3 linked regions of the Notamacropus eugenii genome follow. The protein of the gene in region 1 purifies or fractionates together with the protein of each later gene. This does not show direct contact. Links are inferred from orthologs where the notes say so. Each region holds a gene or a part of one and is shown on either strand. Other genes may lie near its edges.

What was found.
Region 2: the proteins of USP4 (region 1) and DCP1B purify together in Homo sapiens (co-immunoprecipitation; 3 studies listed by BioGRID and IntAct, with this or other methods). This does not show direct contact. The link is inferred for Notamacropus eugenii from reciprocal best matches to the Homo sapiens genes USP4 and DCP1B.
Region 3: the proteins of USP4 (region 1) and RBBP8 purify together in Homo sapiens (affinity purification with western blotting; 3 studies listed by BioGRID, with this or other methods). This does not show direct contact. The link is inferred for Notamacropus eugenii from reciprocal best matches to the Homo sapiens genes USP4 and RBBP8.

Annotation. Positions count from the first base shown.
Region 1 is NC_092872.1:6,873,729-6,881,283, forward strand, and holds the start of USP4 (ubiquitin carboxyl-terminal hydrolase 4), read left to right. Parts: upstream 1-4,529; 5' UTR 4,530-4,629; coding exon 4,630-4,766; intron 4,767-4,772; exon of another isoform or gene 4,773-4,928; intron 4,929-7,555.
Region 2 is NC_092874.1:205,635,619-205,643,226, forward strand, and holds the start of DCP1B (mRNA-decapping enzyme 1B), read right to left. Parts: upstream 3,004-7,608; coding exon 2,854-3,003; intron 1-2,853. UniProt on the Homo sapiens protein: May play a role in the degradation of mRNAs, both in normal mRNA turnover and in nonsense-mediated mRNA decay. May remove the 7-methyl guanine cap structure from mRNA molecules, yielding a 5'-phosphorylated mRNA fragment and 7m-GDP.
Region 3 is NC_092875.1:246,866,870-246,874,782, reverse strand, and holds the start of RBBP8 (DNA endonuclease RBBP8), read right to left. Parts: upstream 3,061-7,913; 5' UTR 2,923-3,060; exon of another isoform or gene 2,916-2,922; intron 1,202-2,915; exon of another isoform or gene 1,063-1,201; intron 1-1,062. UniProt on the Homo sapiens protein: Endonuclease that cooperates with the MRE11-RAD50-NBN (MRN) complex in DNA-end resection, the first step of double-strand break (DSB) repair through the homologous recombination (HR) pathway.

The sequences.
Region 1 (7,555 bases):
TCCTTCCATAGACTCCTGTGTGGCATTGCCTCCCCATCTCTTACCTCTTCATGGTCGTGGTCATCCTCCTCCTGGGTGCATTCCAGACTGTTAATGTCCTTTCAGATTGACAGTTCCAGAATCAGACACCATTCTCTAGCTATGCGATGCCCACAACAGTTTAAAATGATACTATCATTCCCCTCATTCTGGGTGCTACACCTTTATTATTTAAATTTTCAGTCGTAATGTTTTTAGAGCACTTTCCTTTCACATTTTCTCCCTCTTTCCCACTCCTCCTCCACTCATTGAAAAGGTAAGTAATGTATCATTTATACAAGTGATGCAAACCATATTCTCCATGTTGCAAAAAACCCAAACAAACCCCCAAATAAAAAACTCGACAACCTCTTTTATTAAAAGCAAGAAATGTACAGAAAGTGAAAAACTTATACTTCAGTCTGCACTCAGAGTTCATCTGTTCTCTCTCTGGAAGTAGATAGTATTTTTCATCATGGGTCCCTTGAAATTGTGTTGGATCATTGCACTGATCAGAGTAGCTAAGTCTTTCACAGTTGATCATTGTTACAATGTTGCTGCTGCTGTGCACAATGTTCTCTTGTTCATTTCACTTTGCATCAGTTCATATAAATCTTCCCAGCTTTTTCTGAAACTGTTCTGCTCCATCCTTTCTTATAACACAATAATATCCATCACAATCACATGCTACAACTTGTGTATCCATGCCCCAGTGGATGGGCATCCCCTCAATTTCCAATTCTTTGCCATCACAAAAAGAGCTGCTATAAATATTTGTGTACATACAAGTCCTTTCCCCTTTTCTCTGATCTCTTTGGGATATAGACCTAGTAGCAGTATTGCTGGGTTGAAGGGTATGTACAATTCTATAGCCGTTTGGGTGTAGTTCCAAATTGTTCTCTAGAGGTTGGACCAGTTCACAACCACAGTTGTATATAGTAATGTACGTAGTACATTAGTGTACCTATTTTTCTACAGAGGAAGAAAATTTTTAAAATTAAGCAAACTGCTCAATACAAAGATATATGCAATGTTCCACCTGCATGGATACCTCCTCCCTCTACTTCTACAAATAAGAAAAATGCATTTACTCATCTTTTCTTCAGTGCCAAACTTGGTTATTATAATTATATGGTGTTGCAGTTTTGGTTATTTCTCCCTCTGGACCCATTAATTCTACAGATGAAGAAACTGGAGCCTAAAGAAGGAAAATGACATGCCCAAGGACATATAGGTAGTAAACAGCAAAATTATATTTTGACCCCATATTTTGTTTCCAGATCTTGTACTGTTTCTTTTTTCCCCCAACATTCCCTTTTATAAGATTCTGAGTTCCAAATTTTTTTCTCCCTCCCTTACTTCACCCTCCCCAAGATGGCATGCAATCTGTTATAGGATATACTTGCAAATCTTGTACTCTATTATACTAGTCAAGTCAGCTATGACCTGAGAATGCTGCTAAGAAGAATCAAGGCAAGCCTTTGTTCCTCTCAGGCAGAGGTTCTTAACCTTTTCTGTGGAATAGACTCCTTTGGCTGTTTGGTGAAGTACATGTACTGCTGAAAGTCTGTCTTTAAAAAATTGAAGAAAATTCTAAATTTCAGTTTGTTGTTAGTGAAAGTAAAGATATAATTTCTCTCCCATCCAAGTTCCTGGACCCACTGAAATCTGTCTGTGGACCTGAGATTGAGAACCCATGATCTAAGAATCTGGAACTCCAGTGTTGAGGTGATCCTGTATATGTGATAGCAGCGATTCTTAGATTCTCACCCATAGTTTCTGTGACTTGTTGGATGCACGAACCCTGAGGTCAACACATTGGCCTGATTTGTAGACCCGAAGTCTCTTTATGTCCATTCCAGTTTCAATTAGAATGTGATCAGCTGCCCTGCAGAAGGAGGGTCATAAACCACATAAATCTCCAATTATAATGTTAATATGAGGAAAGTGCTTTGTATACCTTAAAGTACCACGTAAACCCATATCACTGTTATTAGGCTATCATGAAGCTCCCTGCTTGATATCTGGCTTATTGGTCAATCAGCTTCTGTGTGATTTCTTCCATTCCCAAAATTTGGATTTTTAAAAGAACAAGATACAACTGTCACATTATTCTTTGTAACCACTTCTAAATATCTCCAAAAGCTGATTAATATAGACTTTCTGAAATGTGCATTTAATTAGGTTTTGTCTTCATTTTTAGGAGCACTCCCAGGAATTTGTCCTTCTCACGAGTCTGTGGTTGCCATGATCAACAGGATGGAGGAGAAACTGATTTAGGAAGAAATTGGTGGCAAAAGAGCAGGGAGGTTGAGAGGTCCTTTCATCTCGGACACTTTCCTGGAACAGAGATTCACAACTGAGGCAGCAAACCCAATTCTTTTTCATCGTTATGTTAATAACAATATTGACAACTGATTTTTATAGAATGCTTTTTCACCATTTAAACTTTTCACTGTTTCACTAGAAAGTAGTTGTATTTTTGGGGGGTTGATGATACAGGCTATGCCATTTATAGTTATTATTTAGAAACATTACATTTATCCCTTTTTGAAAAGTTTAACATTTTAGTTTCTAATTGAATAGCTTTCTGGACTGATGATACCTTGGGTTCCATTCCATTGATTCGTCAGGGTTAGGGAGCCTAGGTTCAAATCCTGCTTCTCCCATTCGGTATTTGTCCTTCATGGTTGAACAGGACCAAAATGGCACTGCTATGTCAGAGTCAAGTGACAACTATCCAGCTGTGGATCAGACCAATATGAGCTGGGAATGTTCTACCACAGGTCGGGCACAAATAGTCCATGGGAACACTTGGAGTGGATTCTCTAAATTTGCCCATCCCAAATTTCATTTGAGCTACTTTAATTCTGCTTTGCTCATAGACCACAGCACTTTCTCTGATGAGAACATGCCATGCTGGGCAGTCCTGTGTCAGTGTCTTCCAGGTCACCCATTTATTACCCATAAAGAAGTGTTTAATTGTTCTTTATCTCCGTTTTCTCTCATGTGTGGAAGGCCTGAGAGGGTTGGGCTGCTAACTTTAAACTTTTTCAAACTTTTTGGTTTTAGGATTCCTTTACACTTTTAAACATTATTGAGGATATGCTAAAGAGCCTTTTTTAAAATGTAGCCTCTATCTTTGGTATTTGCCATATTAGAAACCAAAACACTTTAGTATTATGAAAATAGTTGTGATCTCAAGGACTTCTCTTTTTGAAAATCTCTGGTTTGGATGATTTTCCACTTCTCCTCAAGTTCTGTGTAATCCCCTGGGTTTTGCACCTTAAGTTTCTGTATTCCTAAAATGTGAGGGTTGGCTTTAGATGACCTCTGCCATCACCTGAGAACTCTCCCCAGTTCTAAGTGGCTGCCATCTTCTTTGAAATCCTAGCTCTCCTTCAGGCCCCGGTCAGCCTCCCTCCTCTAAGCAGGCCTCGGTGTCCCCCACAGCTGCCATTCCACTCTGGCTTTCATCGCACTTGGGGCACTTGTGTATAATGGTTCTGGGTTGGAGGGTTTTGTTTTTTGGGCTTATTTCTTCTGCTACATTTTAAGGTTCTTGAGGGTAGGAACTTCACTTTCTTTTTTTTTTTAAATCTGGTCCGTACCCAGGATTGCAGAAGAGGCTCGAGCAACGATAAACGAACGCCTGCATGTAAAACCCATTCATTTGTCCGCTTTCGAGCCAGCCTAAACTGGGCGCAGGAAGACGGTTGGACTTACAGGGGACACGGTCACGGGGGATCTTTCACGCGCGGTTATGGAGCCCGGTGTGCCAAGCCTTGGCTCACATCCAGAGGGGGGGTCCCTCGTCCCCCTCTCTCACCTCCGGCCCTTCCAACTCTTCCTCATCATCCCCTGGCAAAGGGCACGCGAGGCTCCTGCCAACATTGGGGGGCAGTCACATGCTGCGGGAAGGTGGGGGGGCAGACCCCGGCCCAGGAACAAAAGGAGGGCGTGTGTGGTTGTGAGCCCCAGCTCCCTTTGGGGGGTGCAGAAGCCGCAGAGCGCGGCGTGCCCGGCCCGGGATGGCAGGGGCGATGCCACGAGCGCAGGGGCAGGGCACGGGCGGCACGGGCAGCCTGCCGCTTTCTTTCTCTTTTCCCCGGCCACCCCGCTCGCAGCGGGAAGGGGCTTCGGGGGTGATCGGAGGCCGCAACCGTTACGGAAACACGCCCTAGGTGGCTCGGCGAAGGGGGGACCAAACTTGGGGGGGGCCCCTAGCGCCAGCTCTGGGGGGAAGGGAGAGAGGAAACGTCGGTTGGAGACCAGGAAGTAGCGGGGGTGGGGGAAGGCCGAGGAGCGGTTTGTGGGGGAGGGGCCGGGCGTGGCTCGCAGGCCGAGGCCGGGGTCGCCGCCCTTCCGCCCAGCCGCCCTGGCTGCGCGGTCCCGTTCTTGCGTTCTCTTCCGCCTTTCCCCCAGCCCCTCCCTAGAAGCGCGTGCCCGGCAGCGGGGCACGCGGACGGGGCGGGGCGCGTCGGGCGGACGCGCAGGGCGGGGCGCGGCCGGGGAAGGAGGCGGGGCGCGGCCGGCGCAGGGCGGAGCGCTCCGTGCGTGCGTGCGTGAGGCGCGTGGGGCGCGGCGCGGAGCGCGCTGTGCGCCAGGCGGATGTCCGGGCCGGCCGGGCCGGAGCTGGGGAAGGAGATGGCGGAAGGCGGAGGTTGCGGGCAGCGGCCGGACGCAGAGACCCAGAAATCCGAGCTCGGGGCCTTGATGAGGACGGCGCTTCAGCGAGGGGCGCAGTGGTGAGAGCCCGAGCCGCAGCCCCGGCGGGCATGTGGCCTGGCCCCGGCCCGGCCGCCGCTGCCGCGGTCCTCCCTGCCCGACCCAGGCCCTCGGCCCAGACGCGGCCTGCCGCTTCCCTTTCCGTCGCTCCCTCCCAGCCGCTGCCTTTCCTTCTGGCCGAGGCTAGTCTCGTAGATCCCCTTCCCTAGCCCAGCCCAGTCCCGTGGCCTGCCCGTGTTCCACCCCGGCCCAGGCCTGGCTCCGGAGTCTTCTCCATTACCCTCCCCCTGCCTCATCCACCGACCCTTCGTTCCCTTGTCCCCAGCCCCGGACGGCCCCCAGAGGCCTTTTGTCCTCCCTTCCCCAAGTCCAATGAGGCTCTTACGATCCCGCCCTAAATCATTCCCTTCTGCTTCCTCCGCCCTTTTCCGGGAAGCCTCTTACCCTGATCCTTCTCTAACCTAGTGCCTGACACTTAGTGGGTAGGCATGTAGCAAATGCTTGTCGCCTTCCTCCTTCGACACGCCCCACGTTTCTTTCCTGTTCCTCTCGAAGGTTTCACATCTTCGCTTGTCATGTTCTGGATCTTCAGTTTCCTTATTTTCCCTTATCTTTCCCTATCCCAATCCCTCCAGCTGAGTAATTTTGGACCCTTTAACGTTGAAACTTCTCTGGGAGGTGCCGTATTGCAGAGGGTAGTAACCCTCCGTTTCTGTGGCATGAGCACCCCGGAGGAAAGTAGCTTTGAGGGGAATTTTGAAGGGAGTGTTTGAGGAACTGGGTGCTGAGTAATCATAAACTGGTGCTCCTGGGAGTGGGAGCTGGAATAACCAGAGGTAGTAGGAATGAAGAAACTTCTTTAAAAGGAGGGCGTGGGGAAAGATGAAAGAGGATGTCTCTACCACTTGATTGGTTGAGGACTTAGAAGCCCAAGACAAGTAACTTGCATTAGTGGAAGGATTGTGGGAACTGTGAGGTGTTTTGGAGAGAGAATTGGTAAAATTCTCAAAAATAATTTTGGCAACTACATTTTGGAGTTGGAGAAGAAAGTGTCCAGGAAGCAATATTGAGTTGTGTTCTAGATATCAAGTGACCAAGGCTTACGTTGGGATTGATGATTGGGTTTTTTAGAGGAAGAAATGGAGCCATGAGTTCTCATGGTCCTGATGGTGTAATGGATGGATGATGGTATGACCAAATGAGGTAATATGTACTGTGCTTTGCAAATCTTAAAGCACTATACACACTGTTTAAAGGCTAGCTGTTTTAAGAACAGCTTTTAGCTGTTATTAGCTTTGACTGATGAAGAGCTAAATATAAAGCTCAAGTTTTGTCAGTAAAAAGGAATGGAAGTGATGTAAGATTGAGAGTGTGAATATGTCTTGCACACATTGGGTGTGTGTGTTGGGCTGGACTTGTAATTTAAAGTGTGTTGTGGATATTTTCTTACCAACAAAGAGAGTTCAGAGAATTGTCTGGAGCTTTTAGAATTTAGGTGACTTGCTCACGGTCACACTGCTAGTAAGTGTTGGTGGCTGGATGCCTTTCCCCCTCTCCTTTTTTCTGACTCCTTGGCTTTCCATCTATCTGTTGGCTCTCAACCCACAGCCACACTGCCCATCACTTTGCACTTAATGAGTTTGTTGAATTGACTGACATGATGTAAAGTAATAGGTAAGTTAGAGAATTTGCAGTGCGCTGTTAGCTCAGAGTAGCACCACCAAACCAAGCTAGCTTCAGGGATAGGTACATTTAGAAGGTGTTTGTGTGGTGATAATTCAGAAGAGATTCTAAAGACAAAAAGACCCTGGAGAGTTAGAAGGTGAACCAAGGGATGCCATTGTTTCCTCGAGAAAAGGAAATTTATTATGTTAACAAAACCCTGAATTTTGAGTAGCATTTTGATGAGGCTTGTGAGGAAATAGATAAGATCTTTCTAAAGCATGCCCTGCATCATACTGTTAGAATCACACAAAAATTTTTTAAATGCAGATTTTCCTTTTTCAGAAGAAGTGAATGAGGTGGTTAGGATGACAGGCAAAGTACGTTACATTTATTATACATTTATTCATTTTCTGCTCTCTGCTAGAGCATTGTGATAAACAATAGAAGGGATGTTCAAAATTGATGTAGAAGACAGACCCTTCCCTCATATAGCTTCTAGTTTAACCAGACATTAACACTTCCAAACACATTGGGGAGGAACTTCAGTAGGACCATAGCAGTGTCCTAGCCTTCATTGCCTGACACACAAAAAAACTGATTACAGAATAATGCATTTGAGGTTATTTAATCATAAAAATTATTCATTACTTTCTAGAATATACGTGTGTCACAATTCAAGTAGGAGGTTAGAAAGCTGAAGTTTGGTAGTGCATGCTAAACTTTACCATTGTATGACCTGAATTTGCTTGGAGAATTGTATATGAGGATCTGATATAGTTCCATCTATACGGTAGTTACTGTTAGTTGATTGACTGTATTAGTGAAAAAGGAATACAGGAATGTACTAGGTTTTCACTGATCTAGGTGGATGAAAATAGTTCTGTGGTTTCAATTTCTTCCCTGAACTCATTAGCTTTCCATAAATCCTGGGGGATATACCTCAGAAACTTGTGTTTTGCAGCTCTACAGAGTTTTTTCCCTCCACATTTAGTTGTAATATTTATTGAAAATGCTTAAAACACACACATGCCCCAGATTTGCTAAAATTTCCCTAACTATAAAAAGTAGCAGATTGAATGTAAAATGATAATTATATAGCTTGGCAAGAGGAAGGGAGCACAATTGGCACATTTCTATAAATACT
Region 2 (7,608 bases), on another chromosome or scaffold:
TCATTACTCAGACTTTCAGAGATTTGAAGAGATAACAAGTTAAAGTACTACTTAGATACTTAGGCTACTTAGATAAAACATCTTTTGAAAATGCAAATAGCTGTTCTACTCAGGTTCAAAGGATACAAATCAGCAGAAGGCAAAATACTCTTTTAGTGAACTTCATGGCAAAAGGAAATATGTTGTTTAAAACAGATTTCTGTTCCATCTAGAAATAGCCTACCTTTGTTTCAATGAGTAAATCTTTGATTTCATGTTAAAATATGGCATCTAATCTTTTTAACTGAATTTCATTATAAAGGCCAAATTGTGTTAAATACTAAGCAGCTCAAAATAAAAAAAAAATAAACCACAGAATAAATTTTTCTGTTGTTTTACAAACTGTTGGGACTTATCAGACATCAAGACTAAAATATCTAAGGCTTTTCACATAACTTTAACTTATGTCATTAGTCATTACAGTCTCAAATGATGAGACACAGGGCTTAAATTATCCCTCTGAGCAAAGAGGACCAGTCCTAACAGAAAATGATTAGAACTGGGGGAAAAAAATCATCACGGTATACCATTCAATGCTGCATAGATATTTGTGTGATACAGGCCTTCTTGGCAATTGTGAGGAAATCTTGCCTTAAATATCCTAGTCCAGTGGGAAATTACATGTTTTTAACAATGCCTAAGCATTCATTTCCTTTTCTAACTGAACTTCATTCTTTGCCCATTCTTCCTCCCCAATCCCTACTTGTCTTCTTGTTTAATTAGGTCAGTCCTCATTTATTTTGCTTACAGCAGTAACTGGTCCCCTGGGCATCCACCTGTCTTCCTGCAAACTTTCTTCTTTAACTCTCAAATATTTTCTGTTTTCTCTAGTTTCACGCTCAAAAGATTCCACAGTGGCAGAAGTTGGTGACAGTAGTGGCAATTGTTATGAACTCCCATTGATCATATGCTCAGATTTTACAGCCGAACTATTTTTTTCTTTTAGTTGCAAGAGTTTTCAATACTTTAAGAGAATGACCATTTGTTATATGAATTTGATAGCAATTTGTTCAAAAAGCAGAAAGACACACCTCTATGTTTCAACAAATGACATTTTCTTAGTTATCACATCCTATCCCCTAACTGCCAGGGAAACTGGAATTCACTCAAGGAATACTCAGGCACTCAAATTATTCAGTTCCAAAGAGAAAATAATACAACTTGTCCCATTTGGAAGAACTAGCCTGGCATTAACACCTCCACTTTAAACATTCAACTTTCTCTCCCTCCATGCCTTAAGTCTTATCCTGTCTTTTCTTCCTACCTTCATTCTTTTACCTAGAAATATTTGTTGGCATAACGGAAAGGCAGAAATCATGGCAATGTTATTACTGTCTTAGGCAAAGGCAGATTATATGCTGGAGGACTGGGGTGGAGGAATTTCACAACAGAATCAGAAGGGACCTTAGAGGCTATCAATAACTGAAAAAAAAAAAACAAAACCCCTTTAAATCATATCCACCAAGTGCTCTCATCCAGCCTTTACATAAAAAAGTCAAATAAAAGGAAATCAACTCCTTTCTCTTACATATACAGAATCTCACTGCAAATTTGGATAGCTCTCTGTTTAAACCTGCTCCATCTTAATTTTGTGAGGTTCATTTTTGCAGTCCAGGTGGAAAACTTCCCATTTATTCCTATTCAATTTCATCTTATTAGATTCAGCCCTATGCTCTAGACCACCAAGTTCTTTTTGAATCTCATGCCTCTCAACTAGTGTCATTAATTCTCAGTTTTGTGTCATCTGAAAATTTGATAAGCATGTCATCTATGCCTTTATCCAAGTCAGTGATAAACAATTTAAAGCACAGAACCAAGGACAGATCCCAGGAGCACTTCATTAAAGACTTTCCAAGTTGATGACAAAACGTTAGACCATGCCTAGACTACATTTCTTCACCTTTTCCACAAGTGCATGAGATAGTGTGTGAAACACTCTACTAAATCTAAGCACCTACATATCTACAGAATTCCTCTAGTCTCCTATCCCAGTAAAAAAATTAACAATCTCAAGAAATATTTATTGAATACCTATTGGAAGTTTTAAAGTTCTTTCTGACTCAGACAATTACCACCTAGGAAAATGTTGGGTCTGTGTAAAAATAGATGATTAATACCTGTACTACCTATTTCATCTGATCGTTATTATCCCGTTTTGCAGAGGAAACAGTGGTTCAGAGTTTACATGGCTGGCCAAGGGTCACACAGCTTCGTATTTCTCTTGCTGGAATCTGAACCCAGGTCTGCTGACTTCAAGCCCTCTACCATGCATTTCACTCCTGGTAGCATCAAACTTCCAGCATGATGGATTTCTCTTGACCCCAGAAATAAAGGCCAGACTTCTCCCCCAACTTTACCCTTTCCCTACTTGTACTTTGGGGCTGGGATTTGGTCCAGCTCGTCTTTGCATTCCCAAACGAGCCTATCACCGGACTATGCCTTTAGCTGGCACTCAGTATTCTAAAACTTATTTTTTAAAAATCACCCTAACCTGGCAGGGAGGTTTGGCCCCGCCTGAGGTTACTATAAACGCTTAGCTGCCGTCGCTCTTCCTAAGGGTCAGTGCTGGGTCCTGCCCCCCTGGGCTGGGACGACCGTCCCTCCCCGACCCTGGCCTGAACTCCCCGCCCCCGCCTCGCCCCGCCCCGGGGGTCGAGGTCGTCGGCTCGCTCCCTCCCCTCCGCCGCCCCCGCCGGCCTCAAGCCTCCAGTCCCAGCGGGGATCCCGGCCCCCGGCCCCGGGGCCAGGCCGCGCAGGCCCAGCCCCTCCCCCAGCCCGAGTCGGCCTCGGCCGCCCCGTCGCGGCCTCACGCACCCACTCGTTGGCCCGATGGCCGAAAGTGTATAGGGCCACCTGGCTGGCCACGTCCACTATGCGGTTGATATAGGGGTCATGGCGCTGCAGGGCCGCCAAACTGATGTCCCGTCCCTTGCCCACTAGGCCACCAGCAGCTACCGCCGCCATCTTCCCTCCCTCCCGGACATCACACGGCAGACCGGACAGACGCGGCCAATCGAGCGCCGAGAAGCGCGAACTTCCCCGCATTCTGAAAACGAGAGAGAGGAAACCAGGCCCTCCCGTCCACCGCTCCCGCGGGCGAAGCGAGTCGGGGGTCTTTCCCTCTCCTCCTAGATTCCCGGGGCAGACATCGCTAATCGACGCCGGCTTATTTTTGTCTGGGGATGTTGTAACCCGGGCAACAACAGGTCTAGACGGCCACCTCATTCATCTCTTCTTTAGGCTGGCCTTTGGGCTCCCTGCTCAGCGTGGCTTCCTTGTTTCACTTTTACAAGACCTTCCCCAGGAGCTGGTTGGGATGCCAGATACTGAATGGCTTAGGACTATTTCAGCTCATTTATGAGAAGCCACCTAAAGATGATTGTGGGGCCCCCGGAACTTTTCTGGTAGACTTAACCCTTCACAGCAATGCAGGGACCTTCAAACATCCGGGTGGACTGGGGCGCAATGCCATCCACATCCAGAAAAAGAATGCGGAATTGGATCACAGAAGGAGGCAGAATATTTTCTCTTGTGCTATATGTAGTTTTGTTTAGTTTTTTCTCAGGGTTTGTCCCATTCATTTTAATTCTTCTATGTAACATGAGTAATGTGAAAGTGTGTTTAATAAGAAAAGAAAGATGATTGTGAATTCCTATCTGTTACAAATGTATAATCTCCCCATGCATCATTGTGAAATCAAAGCAGACTTGTTCCCACCTTTTCCTTGGCCTTATTTTTCATTAGTCTCCAATCAGACTACACAGGTGGGTTCCTTCTCCGCAGCTCAGTTCTCCAACAGCAGACAGTTGCTGGTGCCCAACTCTGAAGTGAATTGATGTGCACCAACACTTGGTACCTTCATGTCTCCAATGGTCCTTTACAAATGTATTCCAAATCTTTTATTCTTTAAGCCTCATCTCATGACTTCCCCAGGAAGTCATCATTCCTTGAGCACTGTGATTGGTTATTGATGTTTTTTAAATGTCCCTGAAGTACTCTTGAGGGGCTGAGGGAACTCTGAGCACAACAGTACCAATGGAAAGGACTTATTTCCATTCTTTGAAGACATTTTAAGAGAGAACTTTGAAAGAGACTCCCAAGAGGCAAAGGCATGAATTTTTAAGAGCCGGACTAGAGATATACTTTTATTGCTACACGGCTTTTGAAAGCTGGAGCAGAGATCATTCAGCCTCAGAGATATTGGACCTTACCTGTACTCCCCTCCAGCTGTCCTGCTGGTGGTGTTGACATAGCTATTATCCTACTCTCTGTAAAAGTGGTCCAGACTTCAGATTATAGCCCACCCCTCAAATATATCTAGCCTACATGTACAAATCCAGGGTCAGAATGAAAGCTTTTTCCTCTGATCACTCTCAAGGGGGAGGGTAACCCTTCTCATGAAAGACTAGTCCCTTATCCTATCACAAATCTTGTCCAACCAAGCCTCAGCCTTGGATCACTCCCACTTGGATTCCCTCTTACACATTTGCTACTGTATAAAGCTGGAGAAAATCACAGAACTTGAAACTATGTTGCCTGGGGCTACTACAAATATATGTTACATAATCTCAACTAGGTCTTCACTAATACTAGGCAATCCTTTTATACATCTCTGATTAACAATTCACAGTTCCACTCACTACCATAACTCTTCCAAACCTTTTCAGCCCTTCTTAAATCTCTCAAGACTTCTCCCTAAGCCTCACCCTTTAGCTAAGAACCTTATCTCATATTTTACTAAAACTTAAGGCCATTCACTGACATTATCTCCTTTTTCTCTCATCCTCCTCATCACATATCACCCAGATGCCTTTTGCCACTATTTCCACTACTTCTGCCACTGTCTCTGTCTCACTTGATGAGATGGCCCATCTCCTTTTATTTTAAAATTAGCATTATATTTTCCCCCAGTTTTATGTAAAAACAATTTTAACATTCATTTTTAAAACTTTGAGTTCCAAATTCTCTCCCTCCACATTGAGAAGGCAAGCAATTAGATAGAGATTATACATGTATAGTCATGTAAAATGTTTCCATAAGTCATGTTGTGAAGGACTAACTGTACTTCCCTCCATCCTGTTCTCCTGTGTATTCTATTCTCTCTTTCCTTTCATCCTGTCCTTTCTCAAAAGTGTTTTCTTCTGACTACCCCCTCCCTCAATCTGCCCTCTCTTTTCTTTTCTCCTTCCTCCGTACTTTCCTTTAGAGTAAGATAGATTTCCATACCCACTTGAGTGTGTATATTATTCCCTTTTTGAGTCAATTCTGATGACAGTAGTATTCACTCACTCTCTGTCACTTACCCCCTCTTCCCTTTAAAAGATTTTTCTTGTCTCTTTTATGTGAGTTTATTTACCCCATTCTACCTCTTGCTTTCTCTTTCTCCCAATACATTCCTCTCTTACCCCTTAATTTTATTTTTTTAGATCTCATCCCTTCATATTTAACCCAGACCCTTGCCCTCTGTCATATATACTCCTTCTAACTACCCTGATAATGAGAAAGGTCTCATGAGTTACAAATATCATCTTTCCATATAGGAAAATAAGCAGTTTAATAAGTCCCTTATGATTTCTCTTTCATGTTTACCTTTTCATGCTTCTCTTGAGTCTTGTATCTGAAAGTCAAAATTTCTATTCAGCTCTGATCTTTTTATCAAGAATGCTCAAAAGTTCTCTATCTCTTTGAATGTCCATTTTTTCCCTGAAGAATTATACTCAGTTTTTCTGGGTAGGTGATTCTTGGTTGTAATCCTAGATCCTTTGCCCTCTGAAATATCATATTCCAAGCCCTCCAATCCTTTAATGTAGAAGCTGCTAAATATTTTGTTATCCTGATTGTGGCTCCACAATACTTGAATTATTTCTTTCTGGCTGTTTGTAATATTTTCTTCTTGACCTGGGAACTCTGGAATTTGGCTATAGTGTTCCTGGCAGTTTTCATTTTGGGATCTCTTTCAGGAGGTGATTGGTGGATTCTTTCAATTTCTATTTTACCTTCTGATTCTGGAGTATTAGGGCAGTTTTCCTTGATAATTCCTTGCAAGATAATGTCTTGACTCCTTTTTTTGATCATGGCTTTCAAGTAGTCCAATAATTTTTTAAATTATCTTTCTCATGGTACAGGAAAAGAAAGTGAGGCTGATGACCTTGCACAGCCCTCCCTCACTCAAAACAAAGTCAAGTGCAAGTCATGTCATCATTTCTCTGATGTCATGTCTTTGAAAATGAAGGACCAACACAACCTGTGAGTAGATTGAGCTGTCTGAGAGGGGACCTAGCTGGGTAACCCAGCTTATCCTGTCCCTTCTGTCTTCCTCTCCCCTTCATTTGGGGTTTACTGGCTATATGTCCTTCCTTCCTTCCTTCCTTCCTTCCTTCCTTCCTTCCTTCCTTCCTTCCTTCCTTTCTTAGCACCTTAAAAAATAGACTAACCTAAATGGCAAAAGATGTCCGAAAAGCCAATGAGGAGAAGGATGTCTTAAAAAGTAAAATTGCCCAAATGGAAAAGGAGGTCCAAAAGCTAAATAAAGAAAATAATTTCTTTTTTTTTTTTTTTTAGATTTTAGATTTATTTAGGGTTATTTTATACAGGTTTATATAATATCTCATTTAATCTAGAACAAGACAGCTCCCCCTCAGTGAAACCCTGGCCTAAGTATATTTGTTTTACATATTTAGCAAGAAGATACATTAAACATGGAAGCTTTTCAGCCTTGTGGCACTGACATGACCATCTACACAGGACATCCTTCAAAAGCTACAATTAAGGACCCTCCTAGTTTCTCAGCAATAGAAGCCCGGTTGAGATCTTCTGGTCCATTTGCTTGACATTCATGTTTAATGCCTGGAAATTTCTTTTTGATTGCGTCCTTGGAGCTTGCATAGATCATTTTACTTTTGAGAGGTGCTAGTTCTGGTGCCCATAGAAAAAACATCAACTCTTCTTTTCTTGATTCCTTTGTTTCAAAGCTTGCATCATATAAAGCATAGCGACAATCCTTTTCAGGAAGCATTCCCACAAAATGCTTGAAAGGATCAGTAATGGTCACGCCAACATCTCCCACTAAGATCTCTTTGCCTTCTTCCACAATGATGCATTTTTTGTCAGCACTGAGACAAAAGATAGCTGCCTTCTTTCTTTTCTTGATTTCTTCTGGTGTGGAACATTTCTGAACCTTCATATCATAGAAAATGCGGCATACTTCATCAGCTACTTGCACTCCTGAGGCCATCTTTCCAAAGCGGACGATCCGGAGCCCGGTGTGGTCCCTGGGCGGGCGGGAGCGGGGAGTAGGGCGAGTCGAGCAGCTGGGCGCTGCTGCGATCTAGAGCACGGAGGAGGGTCTTCCTCCCGGGAGCCGGAGCGAGGGAGAGAGGCGACGGCGCGCGAGGCTGTCGGGGAGAGCGGGCAGGCGAGCGAGAAGAAAATAATTTCTTAAAAATTAGAATGGAACACATGGAAGCTAATGACTTTATGAGAAATTAAAAAAACAACAAAACTGAAAGAATGAAAAAATAAAAGACAGTGTGAAGTATCTCACTGGAAAATCAACTGACCTGGAAAATA
Region 3 (7,913 bases), on another chromosome or scaffold:
ATGGTCAGAGAGGGGAATGTCAGAGATTCTAATTAGGGAAGTGAAGTATGTGAGGATTAGTAATGAATTCTAGTTTGTGATTCCCCCTATATGTGACTGAGGTAAAGAAGTGAGTTATAGGACTTGAGACTGAAGAATTGGGAGAATGGAACATTTGTGGCTATTCAAGTCCCCTAGTAGAACAGGATTTGGGAAGGAAATTAATATTGTGAACCTGGTACTAAAAGCCAAGAAAGTAGGGGAATATGACCTGGGGATCAGTATGACACAAGTAAAATGTGGATTCTGTGAAATGTTCAAAGGAGAACAAAAATAAAAAAGAAATCGATAGTCCCAAACAAGGGGAAAAAAAAACCTAAATGGGCTGCTAGATCTAATTCTCTGTAACAAAATTTCTGTACTTGGCAATAGAGATTAAGTATCTCTAAAAGACACAACATGCTTTTCAGATAATAAAACTGAAAAGATAAACTGTGAAACAATGCACTATATTTCGATACAATCATGAGTGATAAAACTTTTAGGATCTCCCACCTATCCTTTAGGCCTACTACAGTTTATAAAAGAAAGCTATTTACTTTATAGGAGTCATCCTACAGAAGACATAATTATGTATTCTCTGCACTATAACCTATTTTATTTTCATAAATTCTAAAATCCTTTATCAATATGCCCCCATGCTCCCTTTCAGCACTAAAATCTATGATCCTATGTGGAAATTCTAACTTGCAGTGAACCATTCCTATCCTGAATTTCTACAGCATTTACCTTGTCAAATTCTTTTAAATATTTAAAATATGCTACCTCCTCAATTAAATTTTAAGTTCCTCATGAGACAAGTGTGGTGTCTTATACTTTTGTATTCCCTAGAACTGTGCTAATCTGTTATCTTGAGTGTAAAATTAATTATGAACCTTATCAATTTAGCCAATATGTTAATGACCCACTAGGTGGCAAAGCAGTGATGCTAAGGATAAATAGATGAAAGTCTCAGTCCTTGAGGAATTTACAATCTAATGTGATAGATAAGACAGACAATCACAGTCTGTGCTCGATACTTACCCTTTACCCTTCACTCTAGAGGCAGCTGCATGTGATGAAGGGTGGTTAAGGCTTGCAGTTAGGAGAGCTGTGTTCCATTCCAGCTCCAACATTTTACTAGCCGTGTAATCATAGTCAAGTCACGTGTCAGTTTACTTATCTGTAAAATGGGGATCAGAGTTTCACAGATTTGGGAATGGATAGGATCTTTGAGGTCATCTAATCTAACATCCTCATGTAATTACCCAGGACAATAAGGCTCAAAGAAATCAAATGATCTATTCAGGATCACACAGGAAGTAGTACAAGAACCAATATTTGAATTCAAGATTTGACTGATCCAGCACTGTTTTCTGCTGTAAATAGTTAGATTACCTTGCAGGACTGTTTTGGTAAAGGACTTTATAAATCATGTATATGTGTGTGTATATACAAGCATATATATCATATATATCAAGCATATATAGTGCTTGATAAACCCTTTATATGTATACAAAGCATACACACACATACACAAGTTTTATGAAGTACTAGATTTAGAGTTAGCACATCTGGGTTTAAATTGCAGCTCTGCTGGTTCGTTAGCCATGTGTATTTTCTAGGCCTAGGGTTAATCATTTTTTAAAAAGAACTGGACTAAATCTCCAAGACCTCTTTTAATACTAAATCTTATATGAAAGATCTAGAGAAAGTGGCAAGCAAAATGTAGAAACAGATCACTTTAGAGGGCTGGAGCACGTACGTAATAGAACACTTCACAGAGGTGACACCTGAGCTGAGTGAAACTTGAAAGAAGAGTTTGTGAACAAGAAATCTACAGATTCTTGTATTCTAGACAAGGGGGGCAGTCTATGCATATGGCCGGAAGGAGTACAGACACCTAAGCAAATAGGAGTAGAATGAAATAAGGTAGCAAAGGTAGTTTGGAATCAGATTCTAGAGGTCTTTCACTACTAGGTAAATGAGTTTTTATTTTATCCTACAGGCAAAAGGGGAATGACAACATGGGATCAACGCATCAGGAGGGTCATTTTAACAAACATATAAAAAACATTTTAAAGAGATGAGAGACTGAAGGCAGGGCAACTAGTTAGGAAACTTACTGCAACAGTCCACGAGAAAGGTAAAGGGAGAGAGGGACTGCCTTGAACTAAGGCAGTGGTAACGTGTGGTCTGGAGAGACTGCCAAGGCAGAACCTACAGGTCTTGGCAATTCTTCAGACGAAGCAGTTCGAAGGGCATTCAGGGTTTGGGGCTCCAAGGAGGACATACTGAAATTCAGGCACTAAAGATGTCCAACAAGGTTTCGCAAACATCTTTTCAGCTTAGTTTAAAACTGTATGAAGAGCCTGCATAGGACTAGAGCTCAGGGCAAAGATAAGGAGCTAGACACAGAGGCGGGAGTTATCTCACTTAATTTAAACTGAGACGAGACGAGACAATCTCAGTGCTTTACAAGACCAAAAGAAAAGAGAAGGCAACCCTGCCCTGACGGACGAGCTTCCATCGGCGCTCTCAGGGCTCGCCCCGCACCGGGCACCGGGCGCCGCGGGCACGCAGCCGGGTTCTCGCCCTCGGGTCTCCCTGGCAAGTCGCTCCACTCATGGGGGGAAGACCGGACAGCGGACCGGTCCCGCGCCCCCGACCTCAGCGAGCCCGGCAGGAGGGCAAGCCCGTAAGCAGCGGGCACGGGCAGGGGGCGGGGCCGGGCCCGGCCCCTCTCCGGGCCTCAGTTTCCTCATCCGGCAAACGAAGGCGTGGAACCACAGGGCAGCCTCTCTGGGATCACTTTGAACCATAAGCCGGGACCCGAGTCCTGGCACTCGCCCGCCCTCCACCCACTCCTCCCCAGCACGCTCCCAAAGCCGACTCACCACTTACCCCAGGGCGCGCTCGTGGGGGGAGACGGGGGATGGCTTCTCGCCACCCTACCGGAAGTGGGGGGAACTCCCGGCAACGGGACCGAAAGATCCGGGGAAACGCGGGGCAGCCGGACTCCGCACAAAGACCTCCGGGCGTCGGCAAGACGGAGAAGCGGTCCCGGTAAAGGAGCAGGACTGCAGTGAGGCGTTCGCCCTCTCCACTCCCCCCCCTCCCCCAGCGTCCGAGCCCGGCCAGCGGAACTTCGGCCCTGAGGCCAGCCCGCGCTTTTGGGGGGGAGGGGAAGGGGCGGAGGGAAAGATAGCTGGTGCGAGCTGCCAAGAGCCGGCCCGAGCCGGCCCCGCCCCTTCATCGGGGACGCGGCGAGACGTCACGAGGTTGGGCTTCCCCGTCCTCCCCCCGCCTCGGCTCGGTTCCCCGGCTCGCGCCAGGCCCCGCCCCTTCGCCCCTCCTTAAAAGGGCGGGCGGGGCGCGAGGGGCCGGCTTCGTCTTAGCGCTAACGGTTTGGGCGAAGAAAAGTCGGGCCGGCAGAGGCCTTTGGGGGATACCTTGGAGGGGGCAGAAACCCCGGGCATCTGTGCAGAGGTCTCAGGAGGTATCAGAACTTGGATGGGAAAAAATGTCAACCCGAACAGCCGAAATCTTTCTCTTCACTAACCGTTATAATGCATTTCCTACTTTTATAAATTAACCTAATTTTAAAAAACCAAAGTATTTAAAAAAAATACCCCAGGGGATGCGTAGGCTTTACCAGACTGGCATACGAGGTGTATGGCACAAAAAGGTCGAGAGCCCCGCGCTGGGCAATTGTGGGTCTTACAGGTCGTGCCCAAGAAGGGCCTTTTGATGGAGGATGTGCGGAGGGCTTGGTGCGCGTTATCTGATTTACTGGGAAGTAAAGGTAGTAAGCGGAGGCCCCCAAAGTGTGACGGAAGTGACTGGAGTTAGACGACTACCCCTGGTCTTTCGATTGCGAAGTAATCGTAAATGGGCATTTTTTAGGAATCAGGCACCCTGCCAGGTCTGGAGGATACATTTCAAAATAATAGGGAAATGCCCTCAATGACTATATTCGTGTATGAACGTATAGAACTGTAAAATATTTTTATATAATGATTATCACAAAATATACACAAACTCTAAGTTAATATATTGGGGGTAAGGTGGTTGTGATCAGGAGAAACACCATGCTGTGATGATCTGGGGCGAGCACAGGAAGAAACTAAGGATTCTGTGAGGTAGAGGTGAATAGGGGGTGCATTCCAGGCTTGGGGGGCAATTTGTGGAAAGACTAAGTATCCTATGTTCGAGGAAGGGTAGGATGGCCAGTTTGGCTCTGCATGGTGGTGTGTGTCAAAGAGCTAACTGGATAAATCTGGAAAAAGCAGGTTGGAGCCTAATTTTGAAGAGCTTTGTATTCATTGACTCTTTCACTACTGTCTTCCTTAAGCTTTAGCTCTCAGGATATTTGAGTTATTTTAGAAAATAATCTAGCTAAATTCAATATATGGCTTTACATATAATGGAGAAAATGAGCCCAATACCAAACACAAAATTAGGTGATACTGGACACAATTGTGCTGAGAATTTTGAGTTGGTTTTTTATCTCCTATAACTATTACATCTATAGACTGAAGAAGGTTTAAGTTGTTTGATATAACAGAACCTAGTAGAATTTCATTATCTCAAAACCCAATCTGTTTTGCTAAAAACGATGAAATAATTAATTTGAGGAAAAATTGAGAAGCTTAAGGCAGCTGGTACGTTTTGAAAAGCTAAAAATTTTTATCTATGGTACAATAATCCTATGCACTGGCCCAAAATATTCACTTCTTTATGGTACTTATGGCAAGATTTATCTGACATAAAGTGCTCTTCATGTTTGCCACCCACCTTGCATATGAAGAAAGTGCTTTCTATCTTTAAGAATAATCGAAATTAAGCCAAGGAATACTGACTAAATAATGCTTATTTTGTTCTTTATGAAAATTGTAAAATAACAGTGTTATTTTAAATAAAATATGCTACACTTAAGCAAAGTTGAAAGCATTAAAATCTTAAGTATTTTTGAGGACTGGAGTTAAATGCTTTACGTCAAGAAAGGAAATCCTGTATTAATGGGCTTGTTGTATGTTACATAGCAGAGTTAAGAGGGTCTTTTTTTCTTTGGGGAGGGATATATAATTTTTTTCCTCTCTTAGTTTACACAGTGACATAGGAAACTGAGTTACATGAAGCCCGTACTCTAGCAGAGGTGTTATGCATCTTTTAGTAAGGTGGCTTGTAATGCCATCATCTAATTTGGACTAGATTCAATATGACTAGTTTCAGAACAAGAAAAAAGGAATTGTTTTAGAAGTCATTATAAGAAGCAGTTTCTTAACTTTTCTTCGAGAGTAAAGAAGATAGCTTACAGGCCACGTGGAGTTGAGGAAGCAAATGCAATTTCAAAGCCCTTTTTTGTGCCCTCTCCAGAAACTATATACAAGGGAAAAGGCAAAATAGAAGCCTGAAGTCATCACTAAAGACTACTTGGACTATAGTCCAAGCAAAAAGATAGCTCCTTAAACTTAAATTCATATATATTAGAGTCCAGATCATCAGATTGTAAATTCCCTTAGAATCTTCCTTCCAATTACATTTACATCCTCCAAAGCTCAATAGTATGCACATAATCAGAGCTAACTAACATTTATATAGTGCTTACGAGGTACTAGGCACTGTGCTAAGTACTTTACAGTTATTTTCTCATTTGATCCTCACAACAATCCTGGGGAGTAGTTTTACAGATGAAGAAATTGAAGCAAATAGAGGTTAAGTTACTTGCACCCACTAAGGCACACAGCTAATTAAGGGTCTGTGGTCTTCTGACTCCAAATCCAGTGCTCACAGATTTCTGAAATTTGTAAAGCAGGTGCTAGTAATATTAGCTACCAGACCCATGAATGTTGTGTTATTTTATGTCTTGGTGAGCCTGAGTAGGTTGAAAAAATCAAATAAAAATGAGAAAGTGTTGGGATTATTTTATAGTTATTTCTCAAGAAAACCACAGTTATAGATCCCCAAAATCCAGTTGAATTATAATTCCAGCCATTTGGGGATATATAAATTAAATAACTTGCCTCTGGGCTTCTCTCAAAGGAATGTTTTATAGCTAATTAAATGACTGTAAAGTACTTGTATGAATACAATGAAGTGCTAATTAATGAAATGAGAAAAGATAATTCTGCCTGTATTCAAATATATCAGTGGTCTTTTTTGGGTAATAGAACAAAAGTATTAAGATACAGGTAGATTAGGTAAGATACAAGTAAATTATGGTGACTTCATAAAAACTCAGAATTGAGATCAATGTCTGAAATTCATTAGCTTTATGAATTCCTTCTCTGGAATTAAAATGATCTAATTCTCCCCTCCTCTTTTTCCCCCAGGAAGCTGAAGTATATTATCTCCCTTTATCATTTTGGAGGTACATGTGTAGGCAATTGTTTCCTTGGAGGCAGAGAAGTTTTGGGAGTTACTGCTTTAGCATTATTGTGTGCCAGTTAGTACATCGAAAAATCCTGACTTAAGCTGTCAGATCTAATACCTGGTGTTTAAAACAAACAAACAATACATATACATACAAATATGTGTATGTGTGCATGTGTGTGTATATATATATATGTACAGAAGATATGAACTATTCTGAATTTAAGTTGCACATGGTTAACTTATATCCTTATAATTAGTTAGTTTCATTTATTTAATTTCTTAAAGAATTCATGATTTCACTGCTGTGTGTCTTACCCCACCCCATTCTCCACCTTCCACATCCCACACCCTCCATACCAGACTGAGACGTTGAAGTGGTACGGTAGACAGAACATTAGGTCTGAAGTCAGGAAGACTTTTCAAATATGGCCTCAGACACTAACTATCTTGGTGACCCTGAGTACTTTCTCAGTACTTACAACCTCTGTTTGTCTCAGTTTCCTCAAATGTAAATTGGGGACAATAGTACCTACCTCAGTGTCTTTGCCAAGAAAATCTCAAATGGAGTCACAAAGAGTCACACATGACTCAATCAACTAACAACAACCACCTAGGGTTAGTTGTGAGAATCAAAGAAAAGGTATTTATAAAAAGCTTAGCACAGTGTCTAGCTCTAGCACACAGTAAGTACTATATAAACCGTCATCATCATTGTTATCATTAGATTGGATCCCTCTTTAACTTTAGCTAATGGTCTTAAAGTGTTGTTGTAGGCAAGAAATTTATCACCTTGTGGCCAGCCTGGTGAATAGGTCCCCTTCAAACTTGGCCTGACTAGTTGATCCACAATAGATTACAGTCTCTCACCTGCCAGACTTAAAGTTTTTCTAGCTTGGAAGGACCTGCCAGAACTTGTATTCTGCTTGCCTAGCCTTTGAGAGCTCAGGATCTCATCCAGAACTTGATGAAGCATCAGAGAAGGACTTCCGTGGAAGAACTACTGGAAACTACAAGAATTTTGTTTCATATTATTTTAAACCAGGTATGAAGAAGACTATGACCTAAGGGAAAGATAAGAGAAACTAATGAGTGCTTTTTATCTCCAGACAGAACTACTAATCCTAAAGCGAGTTATGCACTAGAGCTATTTGCACTGTTGCAGAAGAAAAGTTAAAAAAAAAAAAAAAGACAAGAGGATAACTGCTTGAGGCAGGGGGAAGCACCTGGAAATGAGTTCTAGGATCATGAATCTGGAGTTGATTGAGGTCATCCAGACTAACTTCTTATTTTACAGATGAGGAAACAGAAGTCTATTGTTACATAACTGTTTTATAACAAGTGAAGATTCAAATTCAGTCATTCTGACTCCAAGTTCCGGCATTTCCCCCCACTATACCCTTAAGCGCTTTAATGTTATAACAGAAATTGTAGAAACAATGTTTGCAATAGTATGTATAGGGAGAGGAGTGGAATATTCAAGGATGCAAATTGCTGACACATAGCTCCCACTATAATTT